Linked DNA regions of Drosophila melanogaster. The protein of the gene in region 1 interacts with the protein of each later gene in a pairwise test. Each region holds a gene or a part of one and is shown on either strand. Other genes may lie near its edges. The genes, in order: CG2076, santa-maria, ergic53 and CG43658.

Region 1 (4,262 bases):
CCAATCGATGCCCCAGTGCCCGACTGTCTGCATAATGGACTTGGTGGCATTGGATGATCATGATCGTCCGGCGCGAACCAAAACATCGAAACGTAAACAATTCTTTGCATCTCAACTCAAATGTTTATACAATTTTATACATCAACGGTCAAGAGAATGGGTACAACCAATTCAAAATCAGAAGCAAACAATTACTGAGACAGTCGACTTAAATACAATTTTTAATAAAATCTGCATTTTCTAGCAGTAAATCGATGTATTCTATTAATTTCTGCATACATTTTGCTCTATTTGTGATATAATTATCATTATTATTAATTGAATTATGCCAATGAAAGTACTTTCTATATTTGTGGATTCAATCATGCGAATATAGGTATATATTATTATGCTGATTAGGCAGGTCAGACGGACTTATATACAATACACAAAATATGGATCGATATTTGTTTCTTTTTGCATATTGCTATTAATCGTTTTCCTTCCATTTTATTTTGTAGCGCGATAAGCAGAGCATCGTAAGTTGCGTTCCGAAACTGTCAATCCAATAATTAACAGAAATTCACTTAGTAATATAAACTGAAAGTTGATGGCTTTATAAGGCGTAAGAGTCTGAAGATGTAAATGATGTTGCTCATCAACTGAAAATATAGCTAAATTTGTATGATTGAATCTATTTTTGGCAAAGCAAGGGAATTTTTCAACGGTATTGAGATCTATTTCAATATCATAAACATTTGTTTTAACACCTATGAAACGCACTGTTCGCAGGCTCGTACGCATAAACATTCAACAGATCCGAGTAAAATTTGTTAAATTTATTGTAGAGAAAGCGCGCAAATGTCGTAAGTGTGTGATTCCATACAAATAAACAATGTACTCTAGGTTTTTTAATATAAAAATGAACGAAGATTAACCGAACGGACTTCAGTTGTGCGCTAAACTTTGCAAACGTCGGGCCAAATTCTGTCCGCCGATCTCAGTTCTTTCGAATAGCAAATTTTCACAAATGGAGTCAATTAGCAGCATGATTTATTTAGTGGCCATGATGTCATTGATCATCGGTGGCAGCCAAGCGATTCCTTATCGACGTACGATTTTTCCAAATAACACATATATTTTCCAGTAATATACGTTGATTTTCCCTTTCACCCTATAGCCTCGGCGTATCTGTACAATCAGCAGTACTGTATGGATACATTGACGGGTCGGCAGCTTTATATCGGTGAAGTCTTCACGCGAGAGGATCAGTGCGTCCGCATCCAATGCCTGGAAACGCTGCAACTCTGGGAGGATAGGTAAGCGTGCCGTACTAGTATGCCATAGCATCGGGTAACAGATCATCGTACTCATCCATGGTCCAGCTGCCAGGTGCCGAAACTGACGCAGGGCAATTGCACGCCAGTTCCATCGACGAACCCGCATGCCGAATATCCCCGATGCTGCCCACTGTATGAGTGCAAGAGCTACGAGTCGAATTCGGGGGGAACTCTGGAGCAGACCAACATATATGACCACTATGGTACTCTGCGATCATCCCATCTCACTGAGATGATAGTGATCGACGGGCGGACACCCCCTCGTGGCGAGATTCACACGGCGTCGGCGAGGAAGTATCAGGTGTGAGAAGTGAACTGGTACTCTGTTCCTAGGACTACTTAGTCTTTAGTGCAGATCTAATGTGTACAAATACAAATGGAGTTTATTGCGGAATACTTGAATATGTTAAATAAATTTAAATTTCACATTTTTTTTGTCTAAAGAAGTGTATTTTTTCCACTGTACTCGCTATTCAAACTTGGCGCCCTATCGATAGCATTGCTTAGCTTATCAAATAAATTATCTCAGACAACGGGCTACGATTTGAATTCCTTACTTCAGGATCGTTGAGTTTATATTTCTATTTATTTTCTCGGGATTTTCAATATTATATTTTAGCATAATATCGATATTAGCGGTATTTGTGGCCGTCTGCGATAGGCATTTAGTTATCACGTAGCCAGACATCGAATAACGATTGCACCACTTATCGATAATAAAGCACAAGAGACAGTAAAATATTTAACAATTTCTACGAATCAACAAATTATAAAGCCGCAGTGAGCAATTAAAATCAGTTGGAAGAAACGCTAGTGCCCCACATAGGAATCCGAATCAAGCAGCACTTACCGAAGGACAACCAATTGCCCTCTAACCGAATTTCACCACAACAACACAATGTTGCTGCGTCTAGCACTTTCCACCGCCCGTCCAGCCGGGGCTATCAAGATCCTGGCCCAGTCTCCGGCCCAGCTGTTCCGGGCCAATGCCAATCCCAATCTGAATCTCTCCACGGTGCGCACCTACGCCCGCAGGGTGGTTCGCACCCGTGAGCCCGTCGAAGAGATGCGTGCTCCCTCGCTGAAGGAGAAACTGATGGGTCCGCCAAGTGCCAATGGTAAGTCTCTTGTGTAATCCCCCATCTATGTATATCGGTCGTCTAATTGTACTCTTCTGGCGTGCAGCATACTCCATGGGCAAGGGCGCTGCCGCCGGAGCAGCCGCCGTGGGATTGGGCGCCCTGTGCTACTACGGCGTGGGATTGGGAAAACAAACCAGCATCGCGGATAATGCCATGTGAGTGATAGCACGAGTCTCTCACTTGCGAAATACAGGGACTTTAATAACTGAGATTATATTTTCCGTTTAGCATGTGGCCCCAGTTTGTGCGCGATCGTATCCAGAGCACCTATGCCTTTTTCGGTGGCTCTTGCGTTCTCACCGCGGCCGCAGCAGCAGCCACCTTCCGTTCGCACCGTCTCCTGGAGCTGGCCTCGCGTGGCGGCATCTTGGTGAGTCCTCTTGCACAATTCGTAGTTCTTGCCGCCTACCTGACCAACAGACACAACAGAACATAACACTTCCTCTTCATTTGCCTTTAATCGCTTAGGCGACCATTGCTTCGCTGGCGCTGGTCATTGGTAGTGGAGCAGTTGCCCGCTCGATTGAGTACCAGCCGGGTCTGGGAGCCAAGCATCTGGCCTGGGCGGTGCACTGCGCCATTCTGGGCGCCGTGATCGCACCCATTTGCTTCATGGGCGGACCGATTTTGACGCGCGCCGCTCTCTACACGGGCGGCATTGTTGGTGGCTTGTCCACGATCGCCGCGTGTGCACCCAGCGATAAGTTCCTCTACATGGGCGGCCCACTGGCCATTGGCTTGGGCGTGGTGTTCGCCTCCTCGCTGGCATCCATGTGGCTGCCGCCCACCACGGCGCTGGGCGCAGGTGAGTTGCCAGAAAGTTCCACTGGGGCTAGCACCACTTCGCATTATATTTTATGAATTGTCAAGCGGAGTTAACCCATTCAACTCTCTTTTCGCAGGTCTGGCCTCCATGTCCCTATATGGCGGCCTCGTCCTCTTCAGTGGCTTCCTGCTCTATGACACTCAGCGCATGGTCCGTCGCGCTGAGGTCTATCCCCAGTACAGCTACACTCCCTACGATCCAATCAACGCGTAAGTTCACTCCTCATCCATACCGTGCTCTGAAACTCTATACTTTTTGGTTCTATCTTTTAGCTCAATGTCGATCTACATGGACGTGCTGAACATATTCATCCGCATCGTTACCATTCTGAGTGGTGGTCAGCGCAGGAAGTGAGCACTGGAGACGAACATGTGATGCGAGGATTATACCCTCTAAAATATACATACATATTTATACTGTTATTAAAATAAACCGATCGAGTTAGGAAGCAAAATGTACGAACTTTGTGTTTCAATTTGGCTAATTTCAATTAGTGTCTTAATACACTCCAGACCTAGAAATTAAATAATATATTGTCCATATATTATATACAATCTCTAAAAAGAAAGCATTTTTTAAGATCAATTTAAAATGTTAGTCAATTTTAAGCTTGATAGCGATAAATGTAGCTAGCTTTTAACCGATATTTATAGCAGTTGGGTTCGTTGTTATCGATAGCTTAATTACTTTTATTACGGATCGTTTGCCGTATTACCTAATTAGTTAGAAATTTACCTCGTGCAATATTTGTTATTGGTCGTACAGAAGCTCTGTTTTTTTTTTTTTAATTCAAAAACCGATGGCAAAGTGAAATTGGGCTCTAGGGATGTATCGATATGCAATCGATGTTTCATTCAGCTTTTTTCGACAGGACCTAAGCATTCCTGTCAAGAATTGTTTAAATATTTCGAGTCGAGCCGGTCGACAGTTCGAAAATAAGTTCTCCCGCAGAAGCGCCAAGATTCCGGATTTTAG
Region 2 (7,574 bases), on another chromosome or scaffold:
ATACCATATATACTATATATTTTGTATAATTGTTATTGAACTAATAAAGATGAAAAAAATGTTGTTAAAATTCAAAACAAACGTTGTGAGCTGTAATGAAATAAAAATAGTTATGTGCAATCTTACCCACTTAACCTACTAAAATGATAATTTCCTTTGTAGTTGAAGATTTTATTTGACACGAAAGCCATGGGTCAAGAAATCATTTTAATACAAAACATATCTAATAACTAAGGAATGTAAAAAGAGTATTCGTTAGCTAAGCGAAGTCCACCAGACGTTTCGACTTCGAAGGCTATCTAATCTTTGGCATAGGCACGGGAATGCTTGCAATTTTCAGTTGGGTGTTTTAGAGTGTCACTAAACTATGAGCTACGACTAAAGCACTAGGACGGCTTAACTATCTAAATGGCGTGAATGTGGCGGTTCTGTTCAATCCTGCTTATTGTCGCTGATGGCTGTGGATGCAGTGGCCACACTTTCACCCGTCTGGGATTTAATAATGGTTGGCTTACGGCCTTTTTCGAGGAGCGGAGAACTGTCCGGAGATCCTTTGACACTCTTTTCGCACACCAAAGTGGAGGCCTTGGACTTCAGTTCCTCAGCACTGGAGAATTGAGAGCGACTCTTATACTGGCCATTCGTTTTGGTTTTGGTCCTCAGATCGTATCTACGATTTCGACAGGAAGCCAATAGAATCTGAACCGGAGTCCAGCAGAGTAGAGTTATGCCTACGATCAAGCAAATTCCGGCGAATATATGTCCGGAGAGCATGACAATGGGCAGCACCTTCAGTTGATCTGCCATATCTGGAGTGATTCTTACTTTCTGTTCGAACCATACGAGTGGGAAAAATATCCTTGGTATTCCAGTGTATAAGCTAATGCCTTGGATTGGCTCCACGAGCATATTCACTTGAAATCGGGCAGCCACCTCCAGGGGAATACCAGTACTTGGCTGCACAACCATATAAAACTCGTGATCCTTCTGGTTAGGACTCAAGCCCTCTACCTGATCTGGGTAGTAAGGATCGGCGTTGAAAAAGTGTGGATAGGACATAAAAACAGGAGATCCAAAGCGACAGGAACTGATGTTCATCACACCCGACGGAACACATTGGCCACCACAAAAACAAAGGTTCTCAGGATACTGGGTGCCTGAAATATAAATCTCTAATAGAATGGGTACTCACAATTAATCAATTCTTATCAAGACTCACCATTATCTACAGATCGTGGTCCGCCTGAGAATTTATAACCTTCCAGTCCTTCAATATCCACAGTTTCCACATAATCCAGCGGAATAGTTCGGCACATATCGGGCGTAAATAGACCAACACTATCGCCGGGCTTCAGATGCTGTGGCTGGAACTCCCCGGCGGATCCATTGGTCATACCGCAATAGGAATCAAAGAATCCAGTGTTCTCCTGGTAATTCCACGAGTGCATCTGACCCAGTTTGGCCAGTTGATCGGCGCCAGTGAAGACATTAAAAACTCCGGTAAGATCGGCACTTCCATTGCGCGTATAGAACCAACCGAACTTATCGAATGGAACCTTCACCTCATCACCAAAAATGGGCATGGCCATGGCCACGTCGATCATTGCGTCATTGTAACCGGTGAAGAGCAGCTCATCGATCGATTTTTGGACAGACATCTCGGCACCGTACATCTTTAGTCCCACATCGACAAGGGAGCGCTTAACTGGTGGCCAATATTTGGCTGTGGCGGCTGCAGACTGAAATGGAAATGTATAGTTATAGTTATATTATGTAATAAAAGGGAATAGGATACTTACCAGAGCCACTGCATTAAGCGTGGTAATCTCATCGTCCAGGCTGCCATTACTGCCCGCCGCATCAAAGTAGAACAAGCTGCGCCTGCGATAAGTGACGGATGCATTTTCTGGATGCCAGTGAATGTCCACCTTATCGGGTCGCTCGATAAAACGATAAGGACCCACCTGCTCCAGAATGGGCTTTGTGGAAAGGTTGCCGAAATCCTCCGGATTCGTCCAGTTGTACAGGTAGATGTCCAGACTGAGATCAATTGGCGGACTCTTCCAATTTTCATAGACACGTGTGTCGGGGGCCAGAGCCATTTCCTGTCGAAGAACAGAAGCCGCAATTGGTATTAATTGAAAATCTCAACGAGTTTTCCTCGATCTTTGACTCGCGCCAATTGAGAGGCGGCTGTTTTTCTTTTGACTTTCAATTGGCTTTAGCCACTAATCGAATGCAGCTGGCCGGGCTAACACTGGAGTGAAGTGAAATGAACTTAACTGAACCTCTGTCAATGACTGGGATTACCTTGTGCATGATCCAATCGAACAGGTCCACCCAGAACATGCCGCACAATATGCCAAATAGTCCCAGGCAAAAGCCGAAAATGCCGATAATTAATTTGCGATTACTTTTTTGGCCCCACATTGCGCTGTTTTGTGTTGGCATGGCTCACGCTGGGCGATGGTGTGTGGATACCTAATGGTGGCTGTAATGATATGCAAGTCATTGAAACATCAATGAAAATGGATAAATTGATAGTCTATTTGCCAACATATAAAAATGGATCAAATGAAAGAACTCATAAATGTAGTGCAAGTTGAGAATGTACTGATAAGTTTTCTATTATAAAATCATTATGAACAAATCATAATACAATAATTTAAAATATAACTTTACACAATATTATTTTGTGAACTCATGTTCATGTTGCCTACTTTCAGGCAGTGCTAGTTAAAGAATAAAAAAAATGTAGAATCAAATCTCTTATTAACAGATGCATCAAGTCACATATTAATATAAGTATGGCGAACAAAGAAATCAACAAAGAATTGAATACAAATAAAATGCAAAAAGCGCAGCATTTTATTGAGTGACGAATTCCCATAGCGTCTATTTTTATCAATATAATTGAATCAATTTAAGCAAAGCGTGACTTTCAATTGCTGTTTACACTCATGTAGAATATACTAAGTCCGGTAAGTATATGTGTACATATATACAGAACTATAGTCGAATCCCCTATCAGTGGTGATAATTACAAAGCTTCCCCCGACACTCAACGATGATGTGTTTTAATTAGTTATGATAGTTTGAAGCTGCATTGCAAGCAATACGTGTAATTATCCATTTCGTTTACGAATAACATGCATGAATGTGGATAAAATATTTTATGATCGCATTCGGTAGGCGAATTTTCCTATATGGGGCATTCACTGTGGTCCGATAAGCGGATTCTGAACTCTTAGGTAAACAGACCCATGAGGAAGCCACAGACAATTGAGGAAATTGAACTGCACTGCACTTATCGCTTATCGGGAATCCATCCTCTGGCAATTATTTGACCAATCTGCCCAGAGTTCCCATCACCAAACACTATGTATCACTTGAGCATAAATATTGCATATGTACGTACATATGCCACAGGTTCGCATCTCTGTGATATATCGTCATAATTGAGTCTATCAATTGACCCCGCAGTGAGCTATGGTTGGGTCTTTGACACTTTGCGTTATTGCACATGAATACGAGTAGGAATCTATATATATATATACACATATATACATATATATATGCTTATTTGGGAGCGTGTCAGTTGTGTTCTGGTTGGTGTCTGGTAAATTGATATGATTATGTCTTTTGAATGATGAATAGCTGTCGAGCATTTGTCGGCGCCTTTTTATTGTCTTCACAATTAATCTGAAGTGAGTTTTAATTGAAATGGACGTTGGACAGGTGCATCACGTAGAGTTCATCCCGCATTTTTCGCTTAATTCAATTAGATCAAGAGCAATACCGCACATAACGAGGATAGATTTTGAATGGAAATCTAAGAGATTTTAGCAGGAATATCTCTTTTTGTGAGAAAATATTTATAGCAAGATACGTTTTTTTTTCAGTGCAGTTCTTTGATATTCGCTCTTGAAGCTCGAAGCCGCAACACTGAATAATTGCGTTTAATTAAGCTTAAATTTTAGTGACCGGTATATTTGATTCATTATTAAATTAGGCATGCTCTTGTCATACTCTCTGGTTCTTGATCTTCTATATTAACATTTTTATGAATGCTCCGAACGCTTTATTCATATTCTATGCAAATGCACCGAGAACACTGAACTCTGAAGTGATGCCACATCGAAAGTGAATGCATTCTGAAACATTCTAGCAAGAATTATCTGCCTTTTTGGCGTTAACTTCCTGAGTGCAAGTGCACTTGATATGAAACGGAAATTCTAAGTACTAAGTCAGACGCAGTAAACCCGATACTTTAAGATCGTCTACTGGATGTGAGACAAGTCAACACCTTCTCAGTTTTTCCTGATGTTTTTCAACCCCATTTAACCACAAAGGCTGCCATTGAGATAAACCGCAACTTACAGATTTGACGCAGTTCGCAAATTCACATATGCTTGGGCGAGTATTTTTTGATAACGAGCTATCGGCATGTAATTGAGTTTTCGCAGCCTTCAAGTACGAAAATACACACGACGATTTAAAAAAAAGCCAACAACTATAAATAAAGAGCGAAAGGCTAAACCGTAAATAGGCTTGGTACTTTTAAAGGTCCCTGAACTGCAGAAAGTTATTTTGTTTCTTTTTAATGAACTTTAAATCAAAAAATTTCTTTAAATGCCACTTTTACGTAGCCAAGATTTCAGTATTAACTAAAGTTGTTTAAGCCCTTTGAGATTTTAATTAATTCATTGTGAATTGATTAATTGATTTGACTTTAATTGTCCAGCATGAGTTGAATTCTTAAACGAAACTTTAATGAACATGCTATTAGGGGCTAGTTTCGATTATCTTGAACTATATTTAAACGGGTCCCATGAGTAATTTGCCAACGAACAGCTGTATTTATTGAGGATTCGCCAATCTGGGCATTGATTATTCAATTAGCGAATAGCTGGAAAATGAATGTGAAGTTTCTTTGGCTCTTTATTGCATACAATAAAGAAAATTTAAATAAATATTTTAATTTGCAATTTTTAAGACATTCGTTGGTTTTCTATTAGAGTATTTACATTATTTGTTTTTCAGATATTTATTATCTTATAAAGGCACACGCAACTGCAATTAGTTGGGAGCAAGTTGATATTTAATTATCTTGAACTTTAAATGGTTAACAGGTCGCATACGCAATGTGTTTTGTACACCACTGTTTTGTTTTTTATTTATATACCAAATAAGATCAGCTGCCGTTCTTTTGCAGAAAATTCCAAAACATATACTAGATTTTTTTATTTTTTCATTATAATTTATCATCGCCCAATTTCGTTTTATGTAAAAATACAAGCTACAAAACATAATTCGTCAACGGGGCGCATGCTTAATATTTTCCTGAGCAGCTGTTTTCCCTGGGACTAATTTTAGACCATTAATCGCACAATCAACAGGTCGCCTCGTAGTCCAAGCTGGAAGCCCTTTGTTTTGCATTCCGGCACTCTTATTTCTTCAAAAGGGAGACGACACACAAAGCCAGTATAAACACAAAAAGAATGTATAATATAGATTGCCACTGTACATACATATATATTTGGTTTTCTGTCTGGCGACTATTTTTCATTCTTGTCGAGTTAATTTCATTTAATGACCTGTAATCTTAATAAGTCTGCCGGCGATTAAGCCAAATCAAGCCAAAACGTAATGTGTTAACAAAGCAGGAAGCGCTAAGAAATTACGTGATATTGCGAAAGGAGTTTTCTTTTGTCTTTCCAAATTTCCTTTATTTTCTTTTAAAGGCACTCACTTGACTTTTATTTGCTAAATAGAAACAAATCACAGGCTCCTCGGTTTTTTTTTTACGTTTTGATTTTCCTTGCGAGGAAATTGAAATTCGATAAGGATGTGGACAGAACGCTTGAGCACGTGGATGATTTCTTTGCACAGAGGCCGGAAAAGTGGACACGAGTCCCTGGGAAATGCCGTAAAATGGTACCGCTTCGCCCGGCGGCTTCGATGCGACTGTGCGGCGGACTCTCAGCGAACGGACCGCGAGCAGAGCGGAGCGGTCTCGGCGGCCGATGAATGTCAGTCAAGTGCGGCACATGGAAATGGAAATGTATATGGAATTGGGCTTGAGAAGAGCTCCGAGTATCCGAGCAACGGTGTGTATGTGTGTGTGCGAGTGGGTGTTTGGGTTAATTTGCGCTTTGGGCTTTTCATAGTTGTGCCATTGAATTTTGAATTAAACAATATACAATCTGAAACGCGAGTACGACTTTAAAACTGTAGAATGCATCCAAGGGAAGAAGTAGTCAGAAACAACAGTGTCACCATCTTTATATAAATTTTTGGAAATAATCTAAATTGAACCATTTGCTTTGTTAAATACGTTTACAAATATTTTAGTTTCTTATATATATATTTTTTAAATATTTACATCTAATAAATATCAAATGATATAAAAATGAAATGAATGAACTGAAAGAGTCAACATATTTTCTATTGTTCAGTCGAATAGCAAATATAACTGGGTCACATTTCAAAAAATCACAATCAGCGAAAGAAATTCCTATGCACTTAGATTTCATAAAACTGCGAATTTTCGCATACGAATCGGGTGGCTTGTGGAAAAGTAAACAAATCGTAAAGTAGAAATCCGAATTGATAACAAATTGTCGAAGCCTTATCAATGCGGCTAATCGTGATGATTAGCACTGGGTGAACAGCGAACATTCACGACTAACCCCACACACTTGTAAGCTGCGAAAATCGACAAGCGATCAGAGCAAAGTTTCAACTGTTTTTTTGTTTTATTTCGCTATCATAGGGGCACAACTCCCCAGCAAATGGCATAGAAAACACCCATGGATTGCAGTCTGAGGCAATAAAACAATAAAATGTCATTGCTTCAGTGCGTATTCAGGCTGGCTTCCTTATTGGATTAGTCTTTTGCCTCCTTTCACATGGCGTGCTAACTGGGATTAGCTATCAGTTGTGGCCAAAAGTCAGTTACCGCTGCAGATTATGTTGCAATGTTGTGAAGTGGAGCAAGCAGAAGTGGGTCAAGCCAGCCCTTAGCTTCGAAATGGGTCTCGGCCAGCATTATCCATTTGAATTCATTAGTGAAATTCAAGCAGCTCATGTCAGCCAGCAACACAGTCAGTGACGTAGCAACCAGCTTGTTGTTGTCGATTGGCTTACGTTACGTGAATACGTAACGTACTGATTAAGTGCAATTGAAATGTTTACTTGCTTTAAATATTATATCATAACTTAAAAAATACGGATAAAAAATGTAATTTACTGCGAGCTGGAAAACTTTAATTTATTTTTCATCTGTACGTTAGGACACTTTATGTTTAAATTTAATTGATTAATGTGTATATATAATTTTAATCAATCGCCGAGATGAATGGAATGTAAATTATTTGTTGAATTGGAGCTGGTGTCGTCCATGTGATGTGTGAATCGAAACTGAATTAGGATAATGAGGTAGCACGTGGCAGCACCAGTAATCTGCAAAAATTAACCACTTAAATAAATAAAATATTTAATTATTTTCAACATTAGTTCACCGTAAAAATCAGTGTGCGATCCAGACGAAAAAGTCCTGCGGCTGTGAAAAG
Region 3 (5,466 bases), on another chromosome or scaffold:
ACAGCGGGAGCCGCATCACACCAGCACGCGCACTAATAACATAAGTGAAATTGTAACCAACCGCAGCGAATCTTGTAGCGTATTATGTGAATTGCAGCGAATCTTGTGTATTAACTGCATTTTTTCCGCCAAGCCTATAGAACCTCTTGAATTATTATTTTTTGTATAATTTCATTACATTGTTGTTTACATTATTAGTTCACAGAGTTAGACAAAACAGAACCACAGACACAGCCGGTTGGCGCTTATCAAACGCATTTGTTATCCAGTTTATGAAACACACAACCTCACACCCACACACAAGCGACGCAATTCATCAAACTCGTTTTATTTTCGTTCCTAATTTTGCTATTGAACTGCGTTCGAATCCATTTCACACCCAATTTAATGTAAGATGTCTTGAAATTGGCTAGGTTATAAAGTGATCTTGAATTTAGATGAAAACATTTGAAAAGCATGCCGTGATGCTGTCAAATGAGAAAAGGAAGTAACAAAAAATGGATTGGATCTGGATCCCACAATCCTCTAATTACTGATCTTATACACGAAAGAGAACCTAAAAATTACGATATATTATATATAAATATACATATATATTGTAGGATATGTATACATACATATACTTTTTGTATTTTGTAGTCTAGAGTGCGCACGTTTACTTTATGCGAGTTTAACATTCTAAACCCAAAATAAAGGTATGTCCACCGCTGTTATGATTTTCTACAGTACTTAACGACTTGAACGCATATTTCCTCTTTCGGGAAATGTACACAAAACCCATTTAAGCTTAATTTATTATCGTATTTGTAATAAATTGAAAAGATTATTATATTGCACCATCATGCATAATTTAGATTTTCGCTACACTGTAGCGCCTTCGTTTAATTATAATTTTGTAATAAATCAAGCTAAAACAAAGACTTTGATTTTGTTTTAATCGATTTGAGTTTTTCTTTTGATCGCGCACAGAACTAACACGAAAGTGATTGTGATTCAAAATAAGTAACTAACATTTGTAAAATGGCGAAACTTGCGGCACGATCGCCCCTAATGACTATCCCCCACACACCGATCTGCACACAAAGCTATCACTTGTGTAAACTGAGCAACTAACAATATTTTATGAAGCCCACACTATGTGCTACCGAGGCATTAAAACCTATAATAATTCTAGCTGTAAGCTCTACGAAAACTACAAACGGTAGGAAATCAGAAACAAAGAATAAAGATGTAAACATATATACACACACTGTGCTAACTGTGCTAAAGGAATTTTGGAGATATGGATGTAATACTACTTTGGTGATATCACGCAAAAGGCAATTGAAACAACTAACGAAATAATTTTACAATAACGTATTGATAAACATGTATCTATGTAAGCACATGCGAATGGCGCGTATTTTGCTATATTTATGTTTATTTTCTAACGGGACGTAAACACTTTAAATTTTCAAAATAAATGTTTTTCCACCTCAACATCATAAAGTGATAACAAGATCTTTTGAATTTGGTGGGCATTTGCGATATCGATATAAAATCTACCGAAATCGATAGCGATTGTATTGTCGCTGCCTGAATATTTTTTAGATCACTTGGTTCTTGTTTCTTAGAATGCATGGAAAAACTTTTATCTTATAGAATTTTAAATTGTGATCTAAGCTGAAGTTAATTGTTATAGGATGGCTGGTTTTATTTAAGTTCAACATTTATATACGAAGGATGGCCTAAATAAATGTTCTAATCAATTTATATTATATTACCTTAATTGTTAATGGTAGACAATACATAAAATAATATTTGATTTTAAATTATACAATGCTTTTAGAACATCCAGTGCGATACCACCGCCTATCGGTGCCGGCTGGTTATCGATATCATCAGTTTGCACCATCGTCGCCCACCCACCACTAGTTGTCAACATATAATTGCAAAGATGCGGCCCACATTCCTGGCCATTTTGTGCTTCCTGGCGTGGAATCCCAGCTCCGAGGCGACCGGCAATCTGAGTCCTGGAGCCGTGGGCGTGCACCGTCGCTTCGAGTACAAGTACTCGTTCAAGCCGCCGTATTTGGCACAGAAAGACGGCACCGTGCCGTTTTGGGAGTACGGGGGAAGTGAGTACGAGTGGAAGACGCAGCTCCACGTCAGTTGTTTTGGCCCACTCGCTGCTGGTCTGCGGCCATGGGTGCGAGCGAGATGGCGCGAGGCGGCCAAGTGTACACGCAGGCACTTTGTTTGGATGTCGTTTTGACCACGGTTTCGGGTGTTTCTATAGCCACAACTTGTTGCTCCTCATTTCAGATGCCATCGCCAGTTCGGAAAGTGTGCGCGTGGCGCCATCGCTGCGCTCACAGAAGGGTGCCATCTGGACAAAGTCACAGACGAACTTCGACTGGTGGGACGTGGAGATCGTGTTCCGGGTGACGGGACGTGGCAGGATCGGAGCCGATGGATTGGCCTTCTGGTACACCACGGAAAAGGGTGACTACAATGGGCCTGTGTTCGGATCCTCGGACCGCTGGAATGGTCTGGCCATCATGTTCGATTCCTTCGATAATGACAACAAGCACAACAATCCTTACATCAGTGCCGTGCTCAATGATGGCACCAAGCTGTATGACCATGCCGAAGATGGAACCACTCAGCTCCTGAGCGGTTGCCTCAGGGATTTCCGTAACAAGCCCTTCCCTACACGGGCGCGAATCGAGTACTACAACAACGTGCTTACCGTCATGATCCACAACGGAATGTCCAACAACAACGATGACTACGAGCTGTGTCTGAGAGCGGATGGCGTCAATCTGCCCAAGAACGGCTACTTTGGCATTTCCGCCGCCACGGGCGGTCTGGCCGATGACCACGATGTGTTCCATTTCCTGACCACGTCGTTGCATGCCGCTGGACAAGTTCAGGAGCAGCCCAAGGTGGAAAACCAGGAGAAGCTTACGCAAGAGTACAAGGAATACCAAGATAAACTGGAGAAACAGAAGCAGGAGTACAAGAAGGACCATCCCGACGAGGTAATTGCCACGCAGCCAGCTGATAAAGATGTCTTATCGCTAGTTTTGATAATCAACTTTCGTATAATCCCACAGCACAAAGACGAGGAGGACTGGGAGGAGTTCTACGAGTCGGAGAACCAGCGTGAGCTGCGTCAGATCTGGCAGGGTCAGAGCCAAATTGCCGATCACCTACGCGAACTTTCCCGCAAAGTGGATGAGATTATTGGCCGCCAGGAGACCACGCTGTCGCTGGTCTCACGTAATGCTGGACAGGCTCTGCCTCCGCCCGCCGCCGGCGGAGTGCCACAGCAACAGCTGCCCGTTGGCGCAGTCAGCAGGAGCGATGTAGATCTTCTGCTCACTAATCAGAACATGCTGCTCAGTTCCATCCGCGAGATTCGTCAACTGGTTGGCGATATCAATGTGCGCACTGATAACATTCAAACGAATCAGAAGCATGCGCCCACAGCACAAATCCAATCCACCGGCTATGATGTACAAACGCTCATCGCCGAGATGCGCGATGGCATGAATCAGGTCAAGCAGGGCATCACCCACGTGGGCCAAAGGTGAGGAATACGCTCAAAGTCTATTTTAAGTTTCCTAAAGCTGTTGTCATCGAAGTTATTCTGAGCTCGAATTAATTTTAACCTTTTCAGCCATATTTATACTAATTTTTCGTATTCCACATTATGAAATTAGAGTTTTAACAAGTTTGATTCAGAGGAACATGTTTATGAGTTTTAGACTATTATACTTTATTGTCATCTTTTAAGTACCTCCTTGATACTCAATATGCATTCCCTTACCTTGCAGATTGGCAGCGCCACAGGGAGCAGCGCAGGTGGCCAATTGTCCCACGGGCAATTGCGTTGGAGTCACATTGTTCCTAAGCGTAACTGTTGTGCAACTGCTGCTAGTCTTCATCTACAACGTCTTCAAGTGAGTTCATGGAATCTTTAAGCGTGGATTCGAAACTAAACAATCTAACTTATTATTCCTTGCAGAAACCGCAGCGAAGCACAGGCGAAAAAGTTCTATTAGGCGAATTCGCGACTTATTGGGATCGTAACGAATAACAAACACACAAGCATACACCCACAGAAATCACGAGGAAACAGATTCGCACACCTGACTAGGCAGCAACTAAATTTAGTTAAAATGAAAGATTTAAGACTTCAGCGTAGCATGCTCTACCATTATGTGTAACTGTTTGTTTTTTAAATAGAAGTCTGTTTAAGAAGTCAGGTCACGAATACAAACTCAAGTCGTTACTTAATCAAAGCAAGAACAAGAAATTTGATCAATGATGTATGCCTCATGACAATGCCACGCAATACAAAACGAAGAAACCGTCGAAGAAGCCACAAGACAAACTTCCCTTAGTAATAGCCAACAGAAGATGTTTCATATTTGTTTTAGCAAGTCAAGTCGAAAGTTTCACTCCATTCTCAACTCTGCATATCATGTGTGCAGGCATTTATAAGAAGCACAAGAAAATCTATCTAAAAAAAAATAAAAATAAAAATGGCAAAATCTATATAAGTACGAAAATTCCGTAAACGTAGCAAATTTTTGTAATATCTTGTATACTTTAGAGTTGAGATGAATCCATCAGGCTCGGCTCTTGAAACTGAATTGGCAACATAAATCTTTTTTCCCATTTTCATGCGCCAAATGGTCAACAAAGCTAGTTAGCCAGCATTTTTGTTATTACGCCAGAAAGTGAATTAATTTAATAATTATGATGAACTGTCTCACTAAGTTTTTGTTCGGTTCGCATCGTCACTGGTGCGATGTAAGGAAGTTTTCTACTGAATAATCTTAATATACATACTGATAAATTATAAAACAATTGAAGTGAAGTGTGTTTTTATATATGTTGTCCATTCCAGTCTCGATAGAAATGTTTAAAGTGAAAATAAAAATCAATTTATAGAAAAATCTATCTCCAACTGTTCAACTTGATAGTTTTAATCTGCGTCCTCATTTTATTTTTATACTTTTCCGAATGCGATATTATTTTCGCTGATGTCGACAGAGGAAAAAGTTTATTTCTTGAAAAGTCCTCGCAAGCATAAACTAGAATCCCTGTCAGTTGCCCATCCCCATCTTCATCCTCCCATCGATGACAATGCGGCAAAAATGGCGCCACTTGGTCGCCAGAATGCGTGGGGCTGGGGAACGAGTTGGGTTCTGGTGAACTTTGGCCATAAAATGTAACTGCCAATGGTGGCATTGTGGGCAGGTCCTCTGTGGTCTGAGTACCCATTCCATCGCATTGGGGAAAATCCCAGGAAAAGCACAGCCAAAGATAGATGGACAGAAGCCAACGGCAGTCGCGGCCCATGCAATAAATTCTCTACGGGATCGGGGAATGGGTTACACAGTTCTGGTGTGCGGTTGGATGGTAGCTTCGCCTATGTGCTCCGTTTCCTATATACTTTCACTGCGCAGGAGC
Region 4 (4,627 bases), 6.5 Mb from region 1:
TAAGAACTTGTATGTTTTATTATATATTAAGGTAGCAATTTAGCCTTGTACATCCTTCTCTATTTTATTACAACATTTTGTAACAGCAATCACATGCAATTAACTTTACTATTTAACAGATTATTGGAGCACATATAGCAAATTCATATTTTAAAAACATTTTGATGCATTAAAAAGCTTTCATGTACTTTTTATGATGCTTATATAACTTATAAGCTCTACCAAATGAGTCAGATCCATTATAAAAAGGGGTAAAAAGGCGAAGAAAAAAATCAATTAAGCCCTGATATTTGATATTATTTTTCCTCTGCGCTCTGTGGGACTATCTTATAAATCGCCGTTGCCATTCTGATGCGTTCGGCTTTGTATTTTATGCTGCTCCTCGAGTTCAGAATTTTCTATTTGGCGATTTGGATGGATGGTTGAGGTGGGGGAGGGGGGGGGCGCGTTCGGGGGGAAGGCAAACAGCTTTAGACACTTTAACACATTCCTCTGGGAATGAATACTCCGTGGAAGGAGCCACTACACACTCGCACACTCACACAGCCAGACATTTTAGTGGGCCTTCAGCATCGACATCGAAAAGTCTCGGACTTCGACTTGGACGGGGATAAAAAGGTGCACTGATAAAAAAGCATGGGAACTTCATGCCGAGTCTGGTTTTCGAGAAGCACATCCTCATTTTCATTAATTCATTTATCATGACTTTAATAGTTAGGTAATACTGATTAGGAAATCTTTTAGGCTTGCAGTCCACGTTGTGACGAAGCGCACCAAGATAGTTAAATCTACCGTGATGGTCTGATCACATTAAACCAAATGTTTTATATATCTCTTATTTCGTAATTAGTTTTTTCTTGCAGTGCCCGAAGGTAAGAGAAACATTTAGACGACTTTCCAAGACCGGTTCTTTTGGCTCTATGAACTCGCCTTCGTCCGCCTCGTACTAACTAGAACTTGTGGCCAAAATAAAAGGCAAACATAAAGCAGCAGCAGCTAGGCTAACAAAAAAAAAAAAACACAAAAAAAAGGCAAAACAGGGAAATGGTCAGCTAGTTGGCCAGTAGCACTTGGCCAACGGCCCTGTCCTTCTGCACCTTTCCGTTTGGACGGATTTATTTTAGTTAATAAGCGAAATCAGCGGAGGGCTGCTCAAATTGTTTGCATTTTTCGGTTGCTTAAAAGGTCCTTACATTCGTCAAGTAATGTACAAAAAATGTAATGAACTGGTATTCAAAGAACTTTGTTTTTTTTTTTGTAATACTTTTTCCCCTAATTCAATTTAACATTCTTTACTGCGTGTCACACACACATTTTTGACATTTATCGGTTAATATATCTAAGATTATAATATACAACTTTCCTTTCTATTCGTTTATGTTTCTTTGTGAAATGTAACAGGAAGAGTCAACCAAAGGGGCACTTTTTTCTTCATTCAGTTTGATGATTGGCCACACTTCTGAAATTCCTGAATTCATTTTTTAACAGCACCCTGCTGAAACTGCCAAAACATTTCGACAGTCCAGAATTCGTACATTTTTTGTTTCGGTAGCTTGATTTTTAGTTTGTTTACTTTTTGCTACCTTTTTGCGTGGCGGTTGTGTCTTTTGATGATCGATCAGCTTTTGGAAGCAATCAGGGAGCCAGGAAATCAGAGGACTCGTCACTTTCCACCACCATGTTGGCCAACTAATTAGATTCGCTCTGAATTCCCGGCTAATTGAAAGGTGAGCAGCGCGCTTGAACTTTTGGCACTTGCCAACTTTTAAGCTGTGCCAAAATGCTAGAAAAACTTAACGCTTTGAGATGGAAACTTCTAGCAAAGTACAACAAAAAGTAAAAAAAAAAATGGACAAAGTAATAAATTGTACAAACAAATAAACAAACAGTAAATCTTATCTGAAGGTTTATTAACGTATTTCGACAAAAACTAAATTATTTCCATGCTTTAAAAGTTTGGTTTTAAAGCTCTTTATAAAGCAACAACCAAATGCCGGCGATGAAATTTCGATTTCTGTGGCGTATAAAAACTGCAAGTTATTCATCTTAATTAAAAGGGATCCTAATGGCCAAGGACCAAACAAAGGATACAGCTAAGGGCGACGCGACAACATTTCGAGCCAATTGCTTGTGAGACAAAAGAGCCAAGTTATTGTTGTTAATATAAATGTATGTAGTGAGTCTGCTAAAAAGGGGAAACCTGCTCTCACCCAAAAATTGACAACTCTGAAATTTATTTGTATTTTAAGAAAGTGTCTAAAAAGAGATGTTCAGAAAATATAATATGTGAAAACTTTATATCGCGATTTAAGCCCTAAAGTTACAACTTAATATACATAAAATAAATTCACGTAATATTTTTCTTTTTTTTTCGGTCAAGTATATGATTTTCGATTTTTTGAAATTTCATGCCAATTATTGTTTAAAAAACACAGACAACGCTTCCAGTTCTAAGGAAAAAAATATTCAATTTTGGTGCACTACAAATACTTTTTCTGCCACTTTTATAACCCTTATTTAACTAATTTGCGAAATACTTTTCCATTCAAGTGCTAATGTTTTGGCGGCTTTTTCGTTTTGCGGTTTTCGCAGGTGGCGGCAGCTGCCACGTGACCGCAAATGTCCTGCGGCAAACGCATCCTTAGCTACTTAAAAAGCTGCACTTACGTTTTCAGCAACGATCGGTTGACAACGGCGCCGCAAATTCAATGAACTCGAAACTAGTTTGGCACATAAACAAAAATCGCAAAAAAAAAGAAGTGTAACGAAATTAAAGGAAAACCGCACACACACGCACACACAAAATGAAAATATAATATTTCACACTACTTCATTTTTTTCGTGGCTCTTTCTAAAAACTGGTAAGAATTGCTGGCCACCAGGTTGTGGTTACTGTTGTTTCTGATCGCGACTTAAAAACGACGCTCTTCGCAGGATTAGCGCTCTCTTCGAAGAGAGCCCCAGCAGAAGTTTAAGGAGAGGAGACGTCCTCGCGCGAGCAGCACCAAAATCCAACTGCGGCCGAATCCCACGGACGCAGCGACGTCCCCACGTCGACGACGCCGGCAGTGCCGCAAATGCAGTTTGCTCGCCACAGGCACGGAAAAAGAATTAATGCCCAAATGGCTTAGAGCTTGTTTTAAGTTAATGATTGAATGGAAGCGACGTTTATTGTGAACTTAGTATTGCTAAAAAGTAAGTGTAAGTAAGTAAGTAATTTAATTTAACAATGCACATCACAAACCATAAAATTGGTTTCAATCTTTGAAATAGCTTAAACATTATTTTATCAAAAAAACATAATTAGTATACATATTTTTTTAAGAACTTTGGTATTTTGAAAACATTTAATAGCTGCGCAGTTGTAGCTGCTATTGCTTTGACTGCTGCTGTGGACCTGAGCTAGTGTGCGAATGGAGTGCAGAAGGAAAGGAACAAGAACTGCCAGATGAAACAAAAACAAAAAACAGCTAAAGCAGCAACAACAACATGCTGATGCAGTGGAGCTGTAGTTGTATTTGTAGTAGGAGTTGGAGCTGGAATTGGAGTTTGGAGTTCCAATCAGACGAAAAGCAACTAGCGACGCGCGCGCTCTTTTCCGCTCTCTCACACACTCTCTCGTTTTCGGCACACTACTCTCGCTCTCCTTTTGCATTACGTATACGCCAAACAACGCAAAACTTAAACCGGCATTTTGTTAGGCGCACGTTTTGAGCCTCTACGAAGAGTGGGATCGAAGAAGGGAAGCGAGGGAGAGAGCAGAAAATGCTTCAGAACAGGTGCGGATCACTTTCAAAACGGTGCAGGGTATAGTTTATATTGTAGTTTACCTAATGCCCGAAAAAGTAGGCAATGTTTTATGGGAATACGGTTACCTGATTAATTTTGTTAGTTCATCAATCTAAGCCGATCTATTAGTTTTGTTACAAAAAAAATTAAGTCTGCTTGGTTCATAACTGCGATGATACGGAAAAAAAGTTTATACTTTTCTGTTTTCTCGAAATGATGGTCTAACTAATACTGAGTTAGAAAATCTTCGTTGGTTGTCATATATGCAGCCAACCAACTGAATCCGCTCCTGGCAACTTAGCATTTTCGCGCGTGCAGCAGGCAGTGCAACAACAGCAACCCCAGCGCCGGAGAAGAGTGCATCGGTTAGTGTGTGCGTGTAGGTGTGTGTGTGAGCTGCAGCTGGCAGCGAGCTTCCTACTTTATTACTGGTTTCCAACTTAATAAAATATGTGGAGCGCTTGATTTACTCTCAACAAGGATACGCAAGGGTTAAGAAAAGCAATGGCAGGCAGAAGAGGGTTAAAAAGAGATAAGCCAAAGAGAGCGACTTTCTTCGCCAGCTGTTTCGCCGAGCTTCTCCCGTTGCCTTTTGTTTTTGCCGCGCATTCGCCGGCTGGGATCTCTCTTTCCCTTTCTCACACTCTCTTCTGTTTCGGTGCCCCTCTCCCACCGTCTGGCCTCTCACTCATACGCCAGCTGTTGCTCCTTTAAGCGCCAGCGTACCGGAATGCACTTAAAAAAAGTGTGGCCTTGAACGTCTAAAAGCATTACAAATTTACTCATATATAACTTAAATGAATAATTAATATATAAAAATAAAGAACGTATAAGAATA

The links.
Region 2: the proteins of CG2076 (region 1) and santa-maria interact in a two-hybrid assay, tested with the Drosophila melanogaster proteins (one large-scale study listed by BioGRID).
Region 3: the proteins of CG2076 (region 1) and ergic53 interact in a two-hybrid assay, tested with the Drosophila melanogaster proteins (one large-scale study listed by BioGRID).
Region 4: the proteins of CG2076 (region 1) and CG43658 interact in a two-hybrid assay, tested with the Drosophila melanogaster proteins (one large-scale study listed by BioGRID).

The regions. Positions count from the first base shown.
Region 1 is NC_004354.4:11,088,362-11,092,623, forward strand, and holds CG2076 (uncharacterized protein), read left to right. Parts: upstream 1-1,848; 5' UTR 1,849-2,217; coding exon 2,218-2,437; exon of another isoform or gene 2,438-2,504; coding exon 2,505-2,616; exon of another isoform or gene 2,617-2,689; coding exon 2,690-2,831; exon of another isoform or gene 2,832-2,929; coding exon 2,930-3,266; exon of another isoform or gene 3,267-3,363; coding exon 3,364-3,496; exon of another isoform or gene 3,497-3,559; coding exon 3,560-3,641; 3' UTR 3,642-3,737; downstream 3,738-4,262. Other genes in the region: vago, read left to right, coding at 1,010-1,091, 1,160-1,298, 1,365-1,626.
Region 2 is NT_033779.5:7,445,197-7,452,770, forward strand, and holds santa-maria (scavenger receptor acting in neural tissue and majority of rhodopsin is absent), read right to left. Parts: upstream 6,049-7,574; 5' UTR 5,753-6,048; exon of another isoform or gene 2,492-5,752; 5' UTR 2,452-2,491; coding exon 2,311-2,451; intron 2,106-2,310; coding exon 1,800-2,105; intron 1,740-1,799; coding exon 1,220-1,739; intron 1,158-1,219; coding exon 433-1,157; 3' UTR 159-432; downstream 1-158. Other genes in the region: Gr28a (gustatory receptor 28a), read right to left, coding at 7,345-7,464, 7,524-7,574.
Region 3 is NT_037436.4:8,533,070-8,538,535, forward strand, and holds ergic53 (ergic53), read left to right. Parts: upstream 1-1,907; 5' UTR 1,908-1,936; coding exon 1,937-2,117; intron 2,118-2,304; coding exon 2,305-3,023; intron 3,024-3,098; coding exon 3,099-3,574; intron 3,575-3,821; coding exon 3,822-3,947; intron 3,948-4,012; coding exon 4,013-4,049; 3' UTR 4,050-4,944; downstream 4,945-5,466. Other genes in the region: foi (fear-of-intimacy), read left to right, coding at 1-36.
Region 4 is NC_004354.4:17,558,162-17,562,788, forward strand, and holds the start of CG43658 (uncharacterized protein), read right to left. Parts: upstream 3,020-4,627; 5' UTR 2,668-3,019; intron 1-2,667.